3 linked regions of the Schizosaccharomyces pombe genome follow. The gene in region 3 interacts genetically with the main gene of each other region. Each region holds a gene or a part of one and is shown on either strand. Other genes may lie near its edges.

What was found.
Region 1: of nup61 (region 3) and nup124, changing one enhances a phenotype caused by changing the other (phenotypic enhancement), as found in Schizosaccharomyces pombe (2 studies listed by BioGRID, with this or other methods).
Region 2: mutations in nup61 (region 3) and slx9 together harm fitness more than expected from each alone (negative genetic interaction), as found in Schizosaccharomyces pombe (2 studies listed by BioGRID).

Annotation. Positions count from the first base shown.
Region 1 is NC_003424.3:1,109,811-1,117,201, forward strand, and holds nup124 (nucleoporin Nup124), read left to right. Parts: upstream 1-2,364; 5' UTR 2,365-2,403; coding exon 2,404-2,654; intron 2,655-2,697; coding exon 2,698-5,926; 3' UTR 5,927-6,058; downstream 6,059-7,391. Other genes in the region: transporter Hfl1, read left to right, coding at 1-300; AP-3 adaptor complex subunit Aps3, read right to left, coding at 307-483, 946-999, 1,042-1,308; ddx27 (putative ATP-dependent RNA helicase Ddx27/Drs1), read right to left, coding at 6,247-6,392, 6,437-6,557, 6,605-7,391. UniProt on the Schizosaccharomyces pombe protein: Nucleoporins may be involved in both binding and translocation of the proteins during nucleocytoplasmic transport. In S.pombe it is required for the nuclear localization of retrotransposon tf1.
Region 2 is NC_003424.3:495,782-500,658, forward strand, and holds slx9 (ribosome biogenesis protein), read left to right. Parts: upstream 1-2,275; 5' UTR 2,276-2,389; coding exon 2,390-2,392; exon of another isoform or gene 2,393-2,433; coding exon 2,434-2,949; 3' UTR 2,950-3,246; downstream 3,247-4,877. Other genes in the region: dop1 (family protein DOPEY), read left to right, coding at 1-1,908; erd1 (EXS domain-containing protein), read right to left, coding at 3,503-4,624.
Region 3 is NC_003421.2:729,667-736,070, reverse strand, and holds nup61 (nucleoporin Nup61), read left to right. Parts: upstream 1-2,829; 5' UTR 2,830-2,849; coding exon 2,850-2,968; exon of another isoform or gene 2,969-3,020; coding exon 3,021-3,319; exon of another isoform or gene 3,320-3,367; coding exon 3,368-4,599; 3' UTR 4,600-5,200; downstream 5,201-6,404. Other genes in the region: ism1 (isoleucine--tRNA (Ile) ligase), read left to right, coding at 1-2,650; dom34 (translation release factor eRF1 family protein), read right to left, coding at 5,549-6,181, 6,230-6,336, 6,393-6,404. UniProt on the Schizosaccharomyces pombe protein: Functions as a component of the nuclear pore complex (NPC).

The sequences.
Region 1 (7,391 bases), on a different chromosome or scaffold from region 3:
ATTAATAGAACAAGTCATGGTCTTCGGTACAGTCAGGGAGGTCAATCGAAATACTGGATTTCTCGATATGATCAATCTCGAGTGCGTCTCATTAACAATAGTCAAAACTCTCCACAATCAAATAAGTCCTACTTTTCTATCCCAGGGATGTCAACTTCACATTTCGAAAATGGGCTCCAATTTGAAATAGACGATGAAATGGAACCATTATACAATCAAGCGAAACAGATGCGTTATGGTGATTATAATTATCCAGTTCTTCTAGTGAACAATACTCATGCATCTTCTTCATATACATAAAAGTCACTAGAACCTAGTAGCAAAAGAACTTAATGTATTGCTGAATGGCATTGCATTGGACCGTTTGGTTTTTGGCATTTGATTCTGAGCTGCCAAAACAATTTCATTCAGATTTGTCTCTAAGACAAGACCACCAGATACTACCTCAGCAAGAATAGCATGTATTTCTTGGAATTTAAAAACCTATATTGTGTTAGATCTTTCTAATTCGCTTTCAAACAGATGGCTTTCAACTCTTCTAATTATTTCTTCCTTCAATATCCTTTTTTTTTGGCGTATACACTTGTATTTGGATAATTATTACTAACACCTCCTCTTTTTTTTCATTGGAGATTGCGAATCATCGACAATGAGACTCTACTTCCAGTTCTATGCATAATTTCTTTCTTGAAGGCGATGAGAAGTAAAGGAATTAGGAATTAAACTCTTGTAGTTCCTAAGTTCAATAAATGATAAAAATAAATGTTATGCTCTTTTGATAATCGAATATTGGACAAACATTAATGTTTCTTGTAAGGCCAAATTTCCAAACATTCGAAACCAAATAAGAAAAAAACAAATTAAATAAAAAAAAACGGAATCAATGGTTTCAAACATATAGCAGTAGGATAATGGGAAGATAAACGAGTAGTGAAATGTACTTACCAAATCAAGCTCGCAAACATTATTAAAGCATCGATCTAATGCTTCAACAAATACCTTTAATAGTTAGAAATTGGAAAGTAACTAATTTCAACTTACTTGAATGAGATCGAGAATTCCTAGTTCACTTTCACCTTCATCTACTACAAAAACGAAGTAGAGAGTAGCGTACTGGCGATAAATTATTCTATTTTTACCTGCAATTAAATTACTTTCCAAAAAATTACAAGCGGTTGGGGGCCTAGTGGATACAGCTGCATATATATCTCCTATTAACTTTTGTTGAATGGATTCATCAATTGGAGTGTAAAACTTTGTGAGACGAGGTTTCCCTTTATTGTTAAATATAAAAACAGCGTAAATCATGACAATAGAAAGGGAAAGCTGGCAGAACCCAAATATGCAGTGCTTGGTAAACGGCAAGCTGAAGTTTAAGTTGAATATACGTTAATAGTAGTTTGGAAGAACCAGGATCGACAAATTTCTTTCAATGCCTTAGTTAATTTGCTATATTTAAGATTTTCATGGTTTTATATTTATTGAGTATATTATTTATCCACTATTGAACCAAAGATCTGTTACTGAAATTCATAATGTCTAGTAAACAATTTTTGCCATGCCTTCAATGATCTCTATAACGAACTACTTTGTATACAATTTAGGAATAGAAAAATAGGAAAAAACATTTGTCTTCCACCAATTTTTGAATTGATGGTTATGAAATATTCAAATAGCTACATAGTATGTGACATCTCAGTAATAAGTAGACACATACTAATAGTTATATGAGGTGATCCCACTATTCAGTTACTATAGGTATATATTGGTAGCTTTTTTTTGATTAATATACTAATTAAGTGAATATTTGCATAATATGATTAGCAATGAACGCTGCCTTGCTATATGGGAGGCACTTGTTTTAATCAACACTACTATAGATGATAGTAAAGCGAAATTCCAATTACGTACGATTAGACAGTACGTGCCTAAGTGTTTTTCTATGAAAATAGAACTAATCATTTCTTCATACAATGTAAGCTGATTTAAACGGAAGAATTTAAGTATTGCAAGTAAGTTGCTAGAATATTAGACAGCCTAAAACTTGATAAAGCGAATATTGACGAAGCTAAGGCTCGTGGACTACTGTTGCAATCACCACTTTACTGGTAACGAGATTAAATAGAATTTGATATCCCATTTTTTTAAACCGAAAACAAATTGTATTAACATATTCCATCTTGCTTAACACCTTCAAATAACTCCCTTTCTTCTCGTATTAAACATTTTTACGAAACGTGTTACAATAGTCGTACAGTTCCTACGACTACGATATTGGCATATAACAAATAGCGCTACCAGACAATCAATAAGTCATTAGCATGAAAAATAATTGCCACGTAACTAAACTCGCTACTTCTCATTAACCAACGTCTTCTAGTAGTTGTCGATGAGTTTGTATTGATGCCTCCTGTTTCAAAAAATACTCGCACTTCATCAAAGACTGTTAAGAAACCCTATGACCCACCTCAGGGGAGCTCAAGGCCCTTTTTTACGGTCTTGAAACGGGCATTTTCATCTGTTTTGCACCCATTCACCAGTGGTCTAGACGAGAAAGCTTCAGGAACGGCTAGCAAGGATAGAAAGAGTGGAAGAGCAGGTACAAAAAGCCTGCTTACTCCAGAGTTAACACCTCATTATTTAGGAAAATCTCCGTAAGTTGACATTTTTGTCGTGAAACATATTAACATTAAATAGAAGAATTATTCGCGTTAGTAATCGGAGCCATGTTAGAACAATTGATGGAATAGAGGAAAAAGTTCATACGAATACATTTGAACCTAGGAAGCCAAAGCAAAAGCAAGATTATACTAATTCCCCAACGCTTTTTAAACGCCATGACGAGTTGTCGTTAAAATCACTTAATTCGCTTCATCCTTCTTCTGCTTTATCCAAAAAGTTGGGCAGCACTTCTCAACATCAAATTGCAACTCCCAAATCCTCTGCTTCATTGCTCAATATCCTTCGGTCACTTCACGATGAGCAGAAAAATACCTTAAATATATCAAGTGTAAAACAAGATCGTATTACCGAAGCTAATCCTACTTGTGAGAAGCGCAAGCCTTCTAGAAGTCCCAGTCCTATGCTTTCCAAAAAGAAATCTGTTGCTCGTGCCTCTGAAAACGAGCCCTCAGCTAAGCAGAACAAAAGCTTTTCTGGAAATGATTCCCATAAGAGTCTTACCGACATTAGAGATAAGGAGAATGGCGAAACAGAGGTCTCAGCAAAAAATCACGTTCCTCACCGCTCCTCTCGGCGACGTCGTAGACACCAGCGGCTTATCCCTATCATTTATGAAACTCTTGAACAGATGGATTTAAGGAAGCCTGTATTAGTCAATGCAGAAGTTCAGACAGATTCCAACCCCGGTAATACAATGTTTATTGATAAGCAAGATATTTATCACCGGTTAAGTACACCCACTTCGCGTAAGCGTCAGACTCTCGAGAAAGGTCATATTAAGGCTTTTTCTGCAGTTGATGAGGATTTGGATGAAATCTTTGCTTGCGAAGATGACGTTCATTACACCGCATTACCCAAACAAAATCCAAAATCTGAGCGTATATTAGAACCTATAATAGCATCTCCCAAGGATAATACAAGTGACAAGGGTTTATTGACGAAGTCCGCCCCTACCTTTGAAGAGCTTCAAGCCTCTATTACCCCTAAGCCTGTAAAGACTTCTCCGAATGATACGGCACTTACTCTCGCGAACGCTGAGGATAATAAAACCTTTGAACATCAGCCATTGTCAAAGGATACAGAAGCGCCCAAAAGCCAATTTTCCTCATCGCCGACAAAAGAATCTACAACTAGAAAGTCCGAAGTTGAACCGCCATCACCTTCTAAGGAAATCAAATCTTCTCACTTTTCAGTACCCGAATTTAAGTTTGAACCGAAGACTGAAGCTACCACGGACAAAAAATTAAATGTACCCAAATTTGAGTTTAAGCCAACTGCTACTGCTGATGTGCAAACTAATCGTTTGAAGGAGAATGAGCCCAAGCCAACGTTCTTTGCACAATTACCGTCAAAGACTCAAGAGACGCCAAGTATAACTGAGAACAAGCCTTCATTTTTTTCTCAATTAAGTCCAAAACGAGAAGAAACAGAAAAGAAGGACAACGCTCCGTCTGCTCCTGCTTCAACTTCTGGTTTCAGCTTTGGAGGATTCGCACCTAAAACCCTTGAAGAGAAGGAAGAAACGAAAGCTCCTACGTTCAATTTCTCTTTAAACAATGCTTCTAGTACACAAGACACAACAAAACCTACGCTACAATTTAATTTTGGAAGTAGTTTTGGAAAGCCAACAAGCAATATTTTCAATGACAAAAAAACTTCTGAAAATGGTCTAGCTAGTTCTACTGTTGCTTCTGAGTCAAAACCGTCAGCTCCCGAATCAAAACCGTCCTCGGGTTTTGGAAATACCGCAGGCTCATCACCCTTTTCATTCAATTTGACCAAGGAGTCCAAAGAAGTCCCACCTACAAATTCCTTTTCTTTTGCTAAAAAAGGGAAAGATGAAGCGAATGACAGTTTGTCAGCTAAAGCTTCTACTCCATTTTCGTTTGCAAAACCTAATACTGAAAATGTAACAACAACTGCTCCTCAGTTTTCATTTAATTTTACCAAGCCAAATACGGATGCCAAAACCAATTTGCTACCTGAAAAAACTTTTAATGAAGAAGCCGTAAAGCAAAAGGAAACTGAAAAAGAGGTCCCTCCAACAGGTCCAAAAGCTTCTGAAATAAAGGATTCAGTATCTTCTAATAACGCTGTGCCCTCTTCAACCTTTAATTTTGTATCTCCCTTTGCTGCTGTATCTGAAAAAACAAATGAGAATAACATTCCTAACGATACAACGAAGACGAATGGCAATGCTACTAAGAGAACTTTGGAACAAACGGAGGATGCAAAGCCTTTTGCTTTCTCCTTCGGTTCCACTACAGAACAGGCAAACAAAAAAGCCTCAACGTCAAATGAAACTACGAAGCCTCAATTGGATACATCTTCTAAAACTGATGGAGTAACTGCTAATGCGCCGTTTAGTTTTGCATCAGCTTTTAATGCACCTAAACCCTCGACTAATACTGCTGATGGCAAAGATTCTGCTTCGAATCTTACCACTCCTTCACCTGCTTTTTCATTTGGAAACAATAGTGGTGTTAAAGCATCCAGTAACAACAATCCCTCTACAAATTCGTCTACGGCACCGTTTTCTTTTGGTACATCAAATAAACCGGCATTTAGCTTTGGGTCTGCAACTTCAAAGACTACCTCTGAAGGAACCGCTCCAGCTGCTTCTGCTTCTGCTCCTGCTCCCACTACGTCTGCATTTTCTTTTGGAGCATCAAATTCTAGTATGAATAAGGAAGAGAACACTCCCATGGCTAAGGATGCTGGAGATACGGCACCTGCGTCTGGCTTTAAGTCTGGGTTTTCGTTCGGTGCTAACAATTCGCCTCAGCCTGCTTCTATGTTTGGTACATCGACGCCGGCCCCGTCTTCCGCGTTTGCGTTTGGCAACCAGTCAGGCACGAACCCAGCAGCTCCTGCAGGGTTTGGAGGGATTACTAATACTGCCACTAATAACCCTCCTAGTACAGGTTTTACATTCACTCCATCAAATGCTGGATCAACTGCGGCTCCTATGTTTGGCGCTGGAAACACTCCCAACCCATCCGGGTCCATCAATAATGCATCACAAGCATTCGCCTTCGGGTCAGGAGAACCTAGTAATCCAGCTAGTAATCCACCTAGTACCGGATTTTCGTTCGGTGCGGCTACTCCGTCTGCCTTTAATGCAAGTGCCTCACAATCACCAGCGCCCAATGGTATTCAATTCAATTTGGGCTCTTCTAACTCACAAACAAATGCGCCCCCGGGCCGTAAAATTGCTGTGCCCCGAAGTCGAAGAAAACGTTAAATTAATATTATGACATGTTGACAAGACAATATGACAAAACATTGCGGTTGGGTATATGATAGTTTAGATAGACTTTGTCCTTTAAATTAATTGCTAAGGAATAATTATTACATTTTTGTTTACACATACGGACGCTTTTATTCTTATTATATAAATTAAAGTACGAGCTTTTTGTAAAGGAGGTCTAACCAAGTTACCCATGAGACACAAAACCCAATTTCCATTATACATATGAAACCCTAATATAATCTAGTATCTAAAAAATTCAAAACCTAACCAAACACTTATCATTTGAAAATTTCTCCCTTTCACGTATTCACCTATTTGCGCTTAGATTTCGATTTTTTTGTAGACTTTTTGTTGCTAAGTCTATCATTCTTTGTCTTCTTGTATGCTCGGGGCACCTCTTCCTTTTCCATTTGCTTTTTTCTTTTAGCTAAAGACTTTTTATCTTTCGCTTCGGAGGCTATAATGTTAGCAAACATATTTTTTTATTTCAATGTCACATACCTTTAGAAGCTTGTTTATCTTTTTCGGATTGAAACCAGGTACGTGCTGGACGAGAACGAATTTCATCACCATATTTCATAATGTTTTCGCCTTTCTTTAAATCGCGTTCGGCAATTTTTAGCTACATTTGTTAGAAAAAAAATTTATATACTTATAAAAACAACATACTTCTCGTTCTTGTTTTTCTTCATCTAGCACTTTCTGAACAACAGGTTCCAATTCCTCAATTTCTTTACCAAACTTTTCAACTTTGTTAAAATCCAGATTACGGTTGACCAATTTTGTGTTTTGCGCTGAAGAATTTTTGAATACACCTTTAAGAACTTTGCGATCGCCCTCACCGGCTAATGTAATAGCTCTACCACTCCTGCCAGCACGAGCAGTACGACCAACACGATGAAGATAAACTTCGTGAGTAGCTGGAGCTTCGTAATTTATTACGACCTCAATGCCTTTGATATCAATACCACGAGATGCAACATCTGTAGCCAACAAATAGTTACATTTTCCATCACGAAAGTCTTCCAAAGCACGGACACGCTGTTCTTGCGACAATGAACCGTGGATTTCGGTAGCGTTTAAGGATAAAAGGCCAAATATGACTCGCATCTTGTGAGCAAAAGCTTTGCTCCTGAAGAAGATAATAGTTCTTCTATGAAATAATTCCTTGCAGAGATAGATAAGCATAGCTGGGCGAAGTAACTCACGTTGTGGTCGAACACGGACAAATTCCTGAGTTAAAAGTTTGGCGGTAGTTTTCTTATTATCGACAAAAACTCGTACTGGCCGATTTAAAGATAAACGAATTAAATCATCTACTTTATCAGTCATAGTGGCCGAAAAAAGCATCGTTTGTCTAGACTTTGGACAAGCTTGAATAATTTCATTCAGTTCATCAGCAAAACCATCTTCCAGCATACGATCGGCTTCATCCATTACCATAATCTCAATGTTT
Region 2 (4,877 bases), on a different chromosome or scaffold from region 3:
AGCATCGATGTCAACAAGAGATTATCTATGCTTTTAACTATGCAGGATGCTTTGCAAACATTATTTTTATCATATTCATGGCATATTCGGTCTTCATATGCTGATAAAACGTCAAAAGTATTTATGAATGATTCATCGGTTTTAAAAGAAGCATCCTTATCGGGATTAAAAGAGTTTTACTTCTGTGAACCTCTTGAATGCGTAGAAACGCTGGTACAAATCTATTTGGAGAACAATGTTGAGTGTTGCCAGTGTATATGGGATATATTTTCATTTCTTAGTGATTCTGAACCTCAGTACATTGTTAAGCAATTAGTTTCTTCTTTTTTTGCACGTGAAGGAATAGCTAGTTATGCAGGGCCTTCTAGTTTGACAGCAAAGATTACACAACTCGATATTTTATGCTGTATGTCTGACTTCGTCTCCAGAGTGGAGGGCGAAAACACATCTAAGATTTTTACGGAAATTTCAAAATTTGTTCGGGAGATTATTTCTTCCTCAAACAGCTTTAAAAACTATTTGCTGGTATGTTTACGAATGCTACTGGAAGTTGCAAAAAACGTGAACACTTATTGCGAATCTCGCCAGCAAAAAGACTTTATTGATTTGATGGGGAAAACATTGTCCTCAGTCTTATTTCATGCAGGAAAATCAAGTGATCCAAACCTAACTGTAGATTTTCTGGCGTATCATAAAGCTGCTGCAGACACGTTTGAGGTTGCCAAAACACAAAAGAAAACTAGCTCCGTGTATTTATTCGTAAAATACTTAGATCCCTCTTTGCTTGACTTTTTCTGTTCTGAGTTTGTTCCAAAAATAACCGAGCTTTCTAAGGAAGAAGATAAACTAGTTGCTTGGGCTACATCAATCGTCAATGTATTTATAACTCCTTTAGTAAAGGCTAGGACATTTCCGGAATCACTCACCACTTATCATTTGGACTTATTGCTCGTGTTGAGTAAACATCCGTTTTTGAGTAAATCATGGAGGCGCGATTTTTGGGAAATTTTTAATGATAATTCACTGTTCAGGTTCGATATTGATCAATTAAGAAAGCTTTCTCCAGTAATATACACAGCTTTGTACCAAGAGATATCTAGATTAAATGATCTCATAACAAAATCTGATTTAGGCGTTACTACTTTATTTACATCTCGGGATACTCAACTAGGTGCAAGGCAGAGCAACATATGTCGGATCACAATATTAATGTTATCTTCTCCACGTGATTTTTTCCTGCCTAGTCTTCCACCTCTGATTGACCTTGTCAAACGGCTTATAACGTCTGATCCTGAAGGAGTATTAAAAAAGGACCTGTTTTTATTTATTAGAGCTCTAGCTTTAAGGACCTCTTCGAAGCATTTGCTTCCATTATGGCCAATCGTTGTTAGCGAATTGTTGATCATTTTTAAATCTTACTGTATGCCAAATGTTGCCATTTCTAAAGAGACATTATTAGACGCATGCAGGCTTTTGGATTTTTTAACTGCACTCAAACTTGAAGAATTTGCGCTACATGAATGGGTTGTGATGCTTAGTCCACTAGATGCTGTCTATTGGAGCGGAAAAACTAGCCGTAAATCCCTCGTACAAAAGGTTTCTGAGCGACTTCAGGAGCAAGCATCGGAGAAGGACGACAAATCCAGTGTTGAATCCGAACATTCTATTCTTACTTCAACTACAAGAACCCCTTCTTTAGGCATTTACACAACGGACGCTCAATTAAGAAACTTTTTAAATCGCATTTCTATAGACGCTTATGAAGAAAGCTACTCGTTTTCAACAATCGACATACAATCTTTTGAAAATTCTATTTACAGGGAAGTTCTTCAAAGGTTTTCTAATGCTCCCCTATCTCCCTTTTCTTCAATTAAGGCTCCATCAAGCCTGGCTGGCTCCAGTAATTAATTCATAGTATTTTATATCGATTAGGAAGTCTAGGCTGTGTGGCTTCTTATGTAACTTCCAGTTACTCTAACCTAATTATTTTTGTATGTATTTTCTTTTCAAGTTTCAATGTTTATATTCGGAAAATGGCTATAGGGTTTAGTTTGCAAATACTTTAGGAACCATGTTGGACATTCATTTAAAACTGCTTTAATTTATAAAAATTGTTAATTAATGTTGTTTCTTAATTCATTGCACATAAGATGGAAATTAATGTAAGTTAAGTTTTTCATTTCAAATACTAATATTATGAAACCAACTTACGCAATCAAGGGCAGTCCGTTAAATCCGATGCCAATAGTTGTAGTGAATTTTTAAACCAGAAAGCACACCGAATATTCAAGATATTTCACTCCAATCGTAAATATTATTTTGGTTATATATCCTATTTAACATTTAAAACGATTTTTATCGATTGATTCACAATCAATTTTATTTTAGCATGGTATGTTCATCCATAGATAAACGTTTGGCTGACGACAACAGCCAAAAGCAAAAAAAAGAGTCAGTCTAGCGTCAAAAGCATCAAGTCGTTTACCGTCTTCTGGTAAACCTAGCCAACAAGCTAGTATTCCAAATGTCGAGTTATCTTCCACCGTTACTTCGAATAGTCAAGTGCTCAACAATGATCCGCTGAAAGAAACAAAGAAAGATAAACGGAAAGACCGTCATTTCAACTGGCAGCAAAAATTTTCTAATCCAAAAATATCTGCTTCGGCTCGTAAGCGCCGGAACCGTAAAGCCAGAGAAAACCTGAAAGTCAATGTGTCTTCGATTGGAGAAGTACTTCCAGAAATTGATCTTGATATTTCGGTAGCTAACTCCAGGTTGAAGCCCGTAATTAAGGATAGTTTATCTTCTAAACAAACTAAGAGTTCTATGAAACGAAATACCGTTGAGGAAATCGAAAGGTTCCAAGCCATATTGAAGCACCCTTCATTCGTTTCAAATCCTTTGGAAACGGTACGGGAGCACTTAGGAAACTCTTTGGATAGTAGATAAATAGAGCATGCTCATGTCTAGGTAAATTTGGAAGGAATTTGAGTACACTATAAATGCATGATTAATTTGGGGGGTTTTCTTTGGGAGGTTCTTTTCATACTTACTGATTATGTTTTTACAATAAAAAAGTCTACTGATCTAGTTTGTTATTCAGTATGCAAAAAGAGAGCTTGATTTATTTATTTATTATTAAATTCATGTTTTAAACTTTTGACTCAACAACTTAATCAGTAAAAGATGGTGAAATTTGTTCAAACCCATTACGATTCCCATGTAACAAATAAAAGTATATATCCATAATAAAATTTTAAGTAACTTTCTTACTTTAAGTAAACCCAATTCAGCGAGACGGTGCCATTGTGTTGCAAGTCCGCAAATGACAATGTACTTGCAATATTAAACCATTAGCGCAATAAAAGAATGAAAAACATATTATATGCCAAGCAAATAATAGAACGGTAAATTGATACGCCCTAAAGAAAGAAATTTTTTGAAAAGGTTGCAGATGTAATACCTACACATATGTGACAATAGTAACTTCAATCATTTCCATTTAATCTGGATGTATTGTCGGGATGTCACTACGATCACTTATGTTAACATAGGCCAATGATTTAGAAGCTTCGGCTTCTATCCGAAAAAAAACCCAAACACAACGTCGGAAAACTTCAAGAAATTGCATTATAAAGATCCCAAAGTCGGTGGTAAAAAACGCGGATTGATGTTCAGGCAAAACGCGAACTACCCAGGCCATTCGCAAAACAAAATCAATCGCACTTACAACTGCAAATGTGAATGTTGGGAATAAACGCCGAACCCCAAATTTCCAGTTTTGGATTGATAACGGTTGCTTAAAAAAGGGAAGACTCCAATCCATTGAAACATCCCACCAAAATGAATAAGTTGAATTTATAGCTGAAGAGGTATTCCATAAAAACCATAGAAAGCTAAATCTTTTCTTTGCAAAAATCCCAAGGAATATCGCTGGAAAAGCAGTGAAATACTTGATAGAATTCAATGTACTCCAAAATTTATCTGATGAATTATCCGCAGAGCTTCTTTCAATCAAACATTGACGAAATCGGATAGCGTATGGATACGCTGCAATCATTGACATAATAACCTCATTTTCATATTGTTTTCTATGAGAGTTATTAGGTGAGTCAGTTACGTAAATCAAGATTGCTCCAGCTAGCCAGAGATCAGCAATGACCCTCGAGTAAGAAGTCAATAAATCAGAAAATATAACATCGGGAAATTTGTAATCAGGTCTGTAGCTTCCTCCCAAAATCCTTAGACACTGTCGAGTAAACACCTTTCTCTGGAAGAACCAGAACTTATGTACAGGCATAAAAACAATAACACCAAAAATAAAAACGGGGACGTATGCCAATTCATCAGACCCAGAAATCAAATATAAGGATTCGGCTATTACGAAAAGTAGAGTACCTAATATAGATAGGGAGAATGACAATTGCCATAGAGGAGCATTAGCTTGCTGTGATCGATTGACAGGCAACGGAGTATGTAATAATGAGAACACGTCGACCCTATTTATCACTAATAGATGTAATATCAATGTGAAAGAATAAAGACCAAATACGACCAAGAAGAATAATCTCAATACTAGAGGAAAATAATTGATAAAGTGATTCAAATCCTCTATCAACGCCATATTAAATAAAAGGGAGAAAATCTGAAATAATATATTAAAATAAACTTGAATGCAATTATACAATGGATGAATTTTTACAAAGAGAGACGCAAACAGTGTAAAATATGTCGAGTCAAGTTGTACAGCCGATCTTCTAATTATGATGATAAAACTTGACTCATAAATAATGAAAATTATCAAATAAAGGGTTCTATGATGATAGAGATTAGCATTACTGCTTGAATGTCGAGAGGTGCGTTGTGGAAATGAATGC
Region 3 (6,404 bases):
TCGACTGCATATAGGTCATGCTCTAAATAAGATTTTGAAGGATATCATCAATCGTTGGCAATTGCTGAAAGGCCGTTCTGTGCATTATGTTCCTGGTTGGGATTGTCATGGTTTACCAATCGAGTCAAAAGCTATTAAAGCAAACGCCGAGCGTAAAAGTTCTCTTGAAATTCGAAAGATTGCTAAAGATTTCGCAAATTCGGCCGTTCAAGAACAACTCATGATGTTCCAACGTATGGCTGTAATGGGAGATTGGCCTTCTAGGTACATCACCATGAGTGACAAATTTGAAATAGCAGAGCTTAAGGTTTTCTTAAGTTTGTTACAAAAGGATCTTATATTTCGTCAAAATAAACCTGTTTATTGGAGCTCTTCAAGCAGGTCCGCTTTAGCTGAATCAGAAATAGAATATGATGATAATCACGTCAGCACGTCTATCTACTTTACGTTTCCGGTGAACAGTTTTTCTATCGATGGATGTGAATACAATAATGTAAAGGCATTAGTTTGGACAACAACTCCCTGGACCATTCCTTCAAACCTTGCATTATCTTACCACCCTGAAATCAACTATGGTCTATACCAGCACAATAATTCGATTTATTTAATGTCTGATAATTTAGTTCCAAACTTGGATTTTATGCAGGGAGCTAAGCGTCTTGCGAGTTGCCCTTCAGATATTATTTCATCATTTACATATGAGAACCCTCTATTACCGAAGCAAAGCTTTCCATTTTTACAATCTAACTACGTTACTAATGATATCGGTACTGGTATAGTACATGTCGCTCCTGGCCATGGAATGGAAGATTATCTTCTAGGACTGGAAAACAATTTGCGTCCTTTTTCACCACTCGATGATTATGGTCGATACACTAAAGAAGCTTTGGATGGAAGCCTTGAAGGATTGGAAGTTCTTGGTGATGGAGGAAAGAAAGTAATAAGTATTATGAAAAATCAAAATATGATTGTTAAGGTCTCTCCTTATAAGCACCGCTACCCTTACGATTGGCGAACACATAAGCCATTAATTTTACGGGCGACCCCTCAATGGTTTATATCATTGGAGAATGAAAGGAAAACTGCCATAAAAGCACTTGATAGTGTAAAAATGATTCCTCCAAATTCGCGCGCCAGACTTCTTGGTTTTTTGAATGGCCGTCCTGAATGGTGCATTTCTCGCCAACGGGCATGGGGTTTACCCATTCCTGTATTGTATGAGAAAGGAACTAAAATCCCCCTACTAACTGTGAAAAGTGTATCCTATATCATTGAGAAAATGGAAGTAGAGGGAGTTGATTCTTGGTTTAATGATACTGAAAACAATGGGCATGCTCAGTGGGTTCATCCGGATTACAGAAATAAGGAGTATATTCGTGGCACTGAAACACTTGATGTATGGTTTGATTCTGGGACTAGTTGGACTACAATAGCACCTCGTAAGAATAAACCGCTCATTGACCTTTGCTTGGAAGGAAGCGATCAACACAGGGGATGGTTTCAGTCACTTCTTCTCACATACACTGCCTACCAATCAAAACCAGAAGCACCGTTTTCTACTTTGTTTACGCACGGATTTATCTTTGATGAAAGAGGTCAGAAACAATCCAAGTCTTTGGGCAATGTAACCGACCCTGAAGATGTAATAAACGGAAAGCTTTTAAAAGGAAAAAAGCTTCCATATGGTGTTGATTTACTGAGACTTTGGGTTGCATCATGTGACAGTACGAATGATACTAACCTGGGACCGAACATTTTGACGCAAGTTGGTGAATCCTTAAAAAAGTGGAGATTAACATCCCGATTTTGTCTTGGGAACTTACATGACTGGAATACCTCGAGCTCAGTTGATGTTGGTGAATTACGTGGTATTGATAAGTTGGCTTTAGTCCAACTAGATAAATTTCAGACTGAAATTCGAGAACTTTATGAATCATATTCAATTAACAAAGTTGTTCATCATCTCAATTATTTTATGAACTCTTTCTTATCCTCTACATACTTTGACGCCGTAAAGGATCGTCTGTACGCTGATTTACCCAACAGTGTATCTAGGAGAAGTGTTCAAACTGTCCTTTATCATTCATTACTTACGCTCATTTGGGCCATTTCTCCCATTACTCCACTTTTGGCACAGGAGATTTGGCAAAGCTTACCCGATAGTTATTTGAATTCTTCTTACCAAACTCCTTTTCACGCTGGAGAAACACATCTTATAAGCAGCTTAAGGTCAAAAGTTGATTTACTTGATAGAAAATTTTTAATTAAGGAATACTTGGTTCTTCAACAACTTAAGTATAGTATTAATTTGTTGATTACCGCAGCTCGTGAAAATCTAACTATTAAAAACTCATTAGAAGCTTATGTCGTTATTAAGTCAAAATCTCAATCTTTATTGAGTTTTTTAAAAAATTACTCTTCCGACCTTCCTTTTCTGTTCAATACATCGAAGGTATTTATTAACGAAATTCCCGAAAATCTGAAATTAGCTTCCGTTACACAACCTGAAGTTCAGTTGGATTATGGGGTTGCAAATATCTCTTTATTTTTTTCAAATCAACAAAAATGTCTACGTTGCTGGATGCATACAGCTCATGAGGACGGATTATGTGACAGATGCGAATCTGTTTTGGCCCAACTGAAACGCTAAGAAAAAAGCTGAACGCTCTTTATTATGATAATTTTTGTACCATAGTCATTTATTTTTGTAATACTTAATTAAAATCAAGCGACAATTCATTTTTTGTATTATTTTATTTTACTGTAACATTAGTAAATAAGGAGACATAGTGAAGGCCATAAGTTTGGGTGGTTTTGGGGCTAACAGTTGACCTTCGCAAACTAGCAAAATGTCAAAACGCGGTGCTGATCATCAGTTAACTAAGGATCAAGATGATTCTGATGATGACCGTCATGGTCCAGTTGAAGTTCCTAAGGAGGCCTCCGCAGACGTGATGGCCACAAGAAAGTATGTAACGATGAAACATAGTTCTTCAATTTTTTAGGTACTAATGTATTAGAATTGCAAAGCCAAAATCTAGAAAAAGACCAACGAGCGGTGTTTCTTCTCCGGGAATTTTTGCAAATTTGGCAGCAAAACCGGTGTCTTTACCTGCATCGACTACGCAATTTACATTTGGAAAACCCGCGGTTACAGCTAATAATGATTCAGATATTCACTTGAAAAAACGCGGTCTTAATAAATCATTTATTGACGCTGTTATCAAAAGTGTTGACAATAATCCCTTTGGTAATTTGAGCCCTCTGTTTGATGAATACAGGCAGCATTTTTCAAGTATAGAAAAAAAGCCAGCAGAAGGTAATGCGTTTATAGTTAGTACTTCATTTCTTTCTAACGTTTTCTTAGAACAACCAACTTCAAATGCTGTTGTGTCTGAGGTAAATCCTCAGCAACAAAAAAGCCAAGATTCTTCTTCTTTTGTTACAGAAAAACCAGCTTCTTCAGAAAAAGAGGATAAGGAGAAGCCCCTTGTTCCCCCCGGTGCTCCTAGGTTCGGATTTTCTGCTCCAGCGCTTGGTAGCTCTTTCCAGTTTAATTCATCGGCTTTTACTCCTAAAGGGTCATTTGGTGAGAAGTCCGCAACAGAAGCGGAAGCGAAGGAGAAAGAAACATCTTCTAATCAAACTGCCACTGGTACTGCCGCTACCACAACCAACCAGTTTTCATTCAATACTGCCGCTAATCCTTTCGCTTTCGCTAAGAAGGAAAATGAGGAATCAAAACCATTAACTCCCGTGTTTTCTTTCTCAACGACTATGGCTTCTGCGGATGCTTCAAAAGAGACCAAACAAACCCATGAAACTAAAGATTCAAAGAGCGAAGAATCTAAACCCTCGAACAATGAAAAATCCGAGAACGCCGTTGAACCTGCCAAGGGAAATACTATGAGTTTTTCTTGGACTCCTGATAAGCCTATCAAATTTGACACACCTGAGAAAAAATTTACATTTACCAATCCATTATCGAGCAAAAAGTTACCGGCCTCTTCGGATGTGAAGCCTCCTAGCGCTGCGGCTGTCGGCTTTTCATTTGGAACTACTACTAATCCGTTCTCTTTTGCTGCTCCGAAATCTTCTTTTCCTACTTCTTCTACTCCAGCTTCTGTTGGCGCTGAAAAAAGTGAAGAAACTTCTAATGGAAACAAATCAGAGCAAGAAGAAAAGGAAAACGGAAATGATGAAACTCGATCGAATGATTCTCTAGTTTCTGGTAAAGGAAAAGGCGAAGAAAATGAAGACAGCGTATTTGAGACAAGGGCCAAGATATACCGTTTCGATGCTACTAGTAAATCTTATTCTGATATCGGGATTGGTCCATTAAAAATTAACGTAGATCGTGACACTGGCTCTGCTCGCATCCTTGCGCGTGTCGAGGGAAGTGGAAAACTTTTGTTAAACGTTCGTTTGTGCCAGGATTTTGAATACAGCCTGGCTGGTAAAAAGGACGTAAAAGTACCTGCTGCTTCTACTGATGGAAAATCAATTGAAATGTATTTGATTCGTGTGAAAGAGCCTAGTACTGCGGAAAAGTTATTAGCCGAATTGAATGAGAAAAAGGTCTCAAAGTCAGAGAACTAGAAAGCAGTGATTGATTCAGTCACTATTTATTCCTTTATTTTTGGTCTATTAAATGTACATAAATCTAATAAATTTTTCGGAAATATATTGTCAAGATTATCAATTTAATACTGTCATTCGATTTTCATTTGTGGATAGGGATATACACAATCAGTCTTTTACGAAATGTGCATACAAATATGAAATTCCCGGAAGCATACATGCTCTCCAAGTACATTGCCTTTATGGAATATTAAATTGGTTAAGCTAGTCATATCTTTTCTTTTTAAATTTACGCAGAACATCAAAGTTTTACGGAACTGATTTAATTATCCTAATTTTCATCTTATGAATGATTGATAAATTTTTGAGTGAATTTTAAAACTGTTGTATATCGCCAGTGATATATCTTGAATTGATTGATTCAATAATCGGTTTCGTTATTAAATTACTTTTGTCTATATATTGGTTCCGGATTTTCAAACACCTGCCTAGCTTTTAGAAGGGTCAAACCCCCTTATTGAATAAGTATCTTGGCGCGAACTTTTAATAAAATAAGCAAGTAAATGAGCCACTATCAATTTCGAATTGTTAGTTTTTTGAAAAAAGTAACTTCAACAAATACGTTTGTAGCGAATTTATCGCTTAAAGTTGATTTTTTTACTGTAATTGAATACTGTATTGGACCGGCTATAATTAACAGCTTAATTTTACAAGTTAAGAGTTATAATCGATAAGTATAAATCATTTTAGGGTATCAATTTTTGACCATTCTAACACCTAATTTTTTGCATGTTTATCATAGTAAATACCCTAAAACATCCAAGTAAAAGCATAAATAATGACTACCAAAACGAGCCCATAAATAAATTTTTTAAGAGAATGAAACAAATTGTTCTAACCGAGCTTAAAGTATGAAATATTGGCTTAGCAATAATTAGATTCATGACAATTCGGATACTGATGAACTTTAACTATGTTCAAAATTTTGGGATTCCTCATCCTCTTCATCTTCTGATATATCCTCTTCATCGACTGGGTAAGTGAGAATGGCGGCAATACCTGACAACAGATCCAGCTGCTTCCCTGACTCATGCAAACTACTGAAAATATAAACAGGACAGTTAATCTCCTTAACACCTTCTACTAATGAAACCCATTTTTTTCTAGTAGCAATGTCAGAACTCCTGAACAGAGAATCGCTAATCAGAAGTTCTCCGATCGCGCCAAGTTCAAAAGCCTTCAAAACATGATTTGGACCATACCATGCCTTTCTATCATCTTCATTCATGACATCGTAAAATTTATTCAGAACGCGAATTTCTTGTACGTATTTTGTGTCGGCTAGTTTTGATTCAACAGCAGGGTCCTTCAAAATTTCATTAAGGGAATGAATATGACCAGTGCTAGAATGAAGGATGACAAATTTATTCTTTGATTTAACAATTTGTTTCAAGTCTAACTTCACGGCCATGCTGAATATGTAGTCATACAAGCCTCGAGCCACAAATCCTGGTGAAGCAAGAATAACGACTTTCAATTTATCAAAATCAAATTCTGAGTTAATGGATTGAAAAACAGAGTCATAAAATTTATCAAGGCCCTAAAAAATTGATCAGTACGGACGAAAAATCAAAGTCTAAAAATTTACCTTTTGGTAAGCGCTGCTGTCCCCTCTCCGTTTCCTTGGAATCACTTGATCAATCCTTTGACGCAGGATGGTCATATAATCTGTAATGAGACAAATATTGGCAAGACCTGCAAGTCAGTAAACATGCACGAACTAATAAAGCGATGTAAGCCAAGAAATTTACCTTCATCTAAAA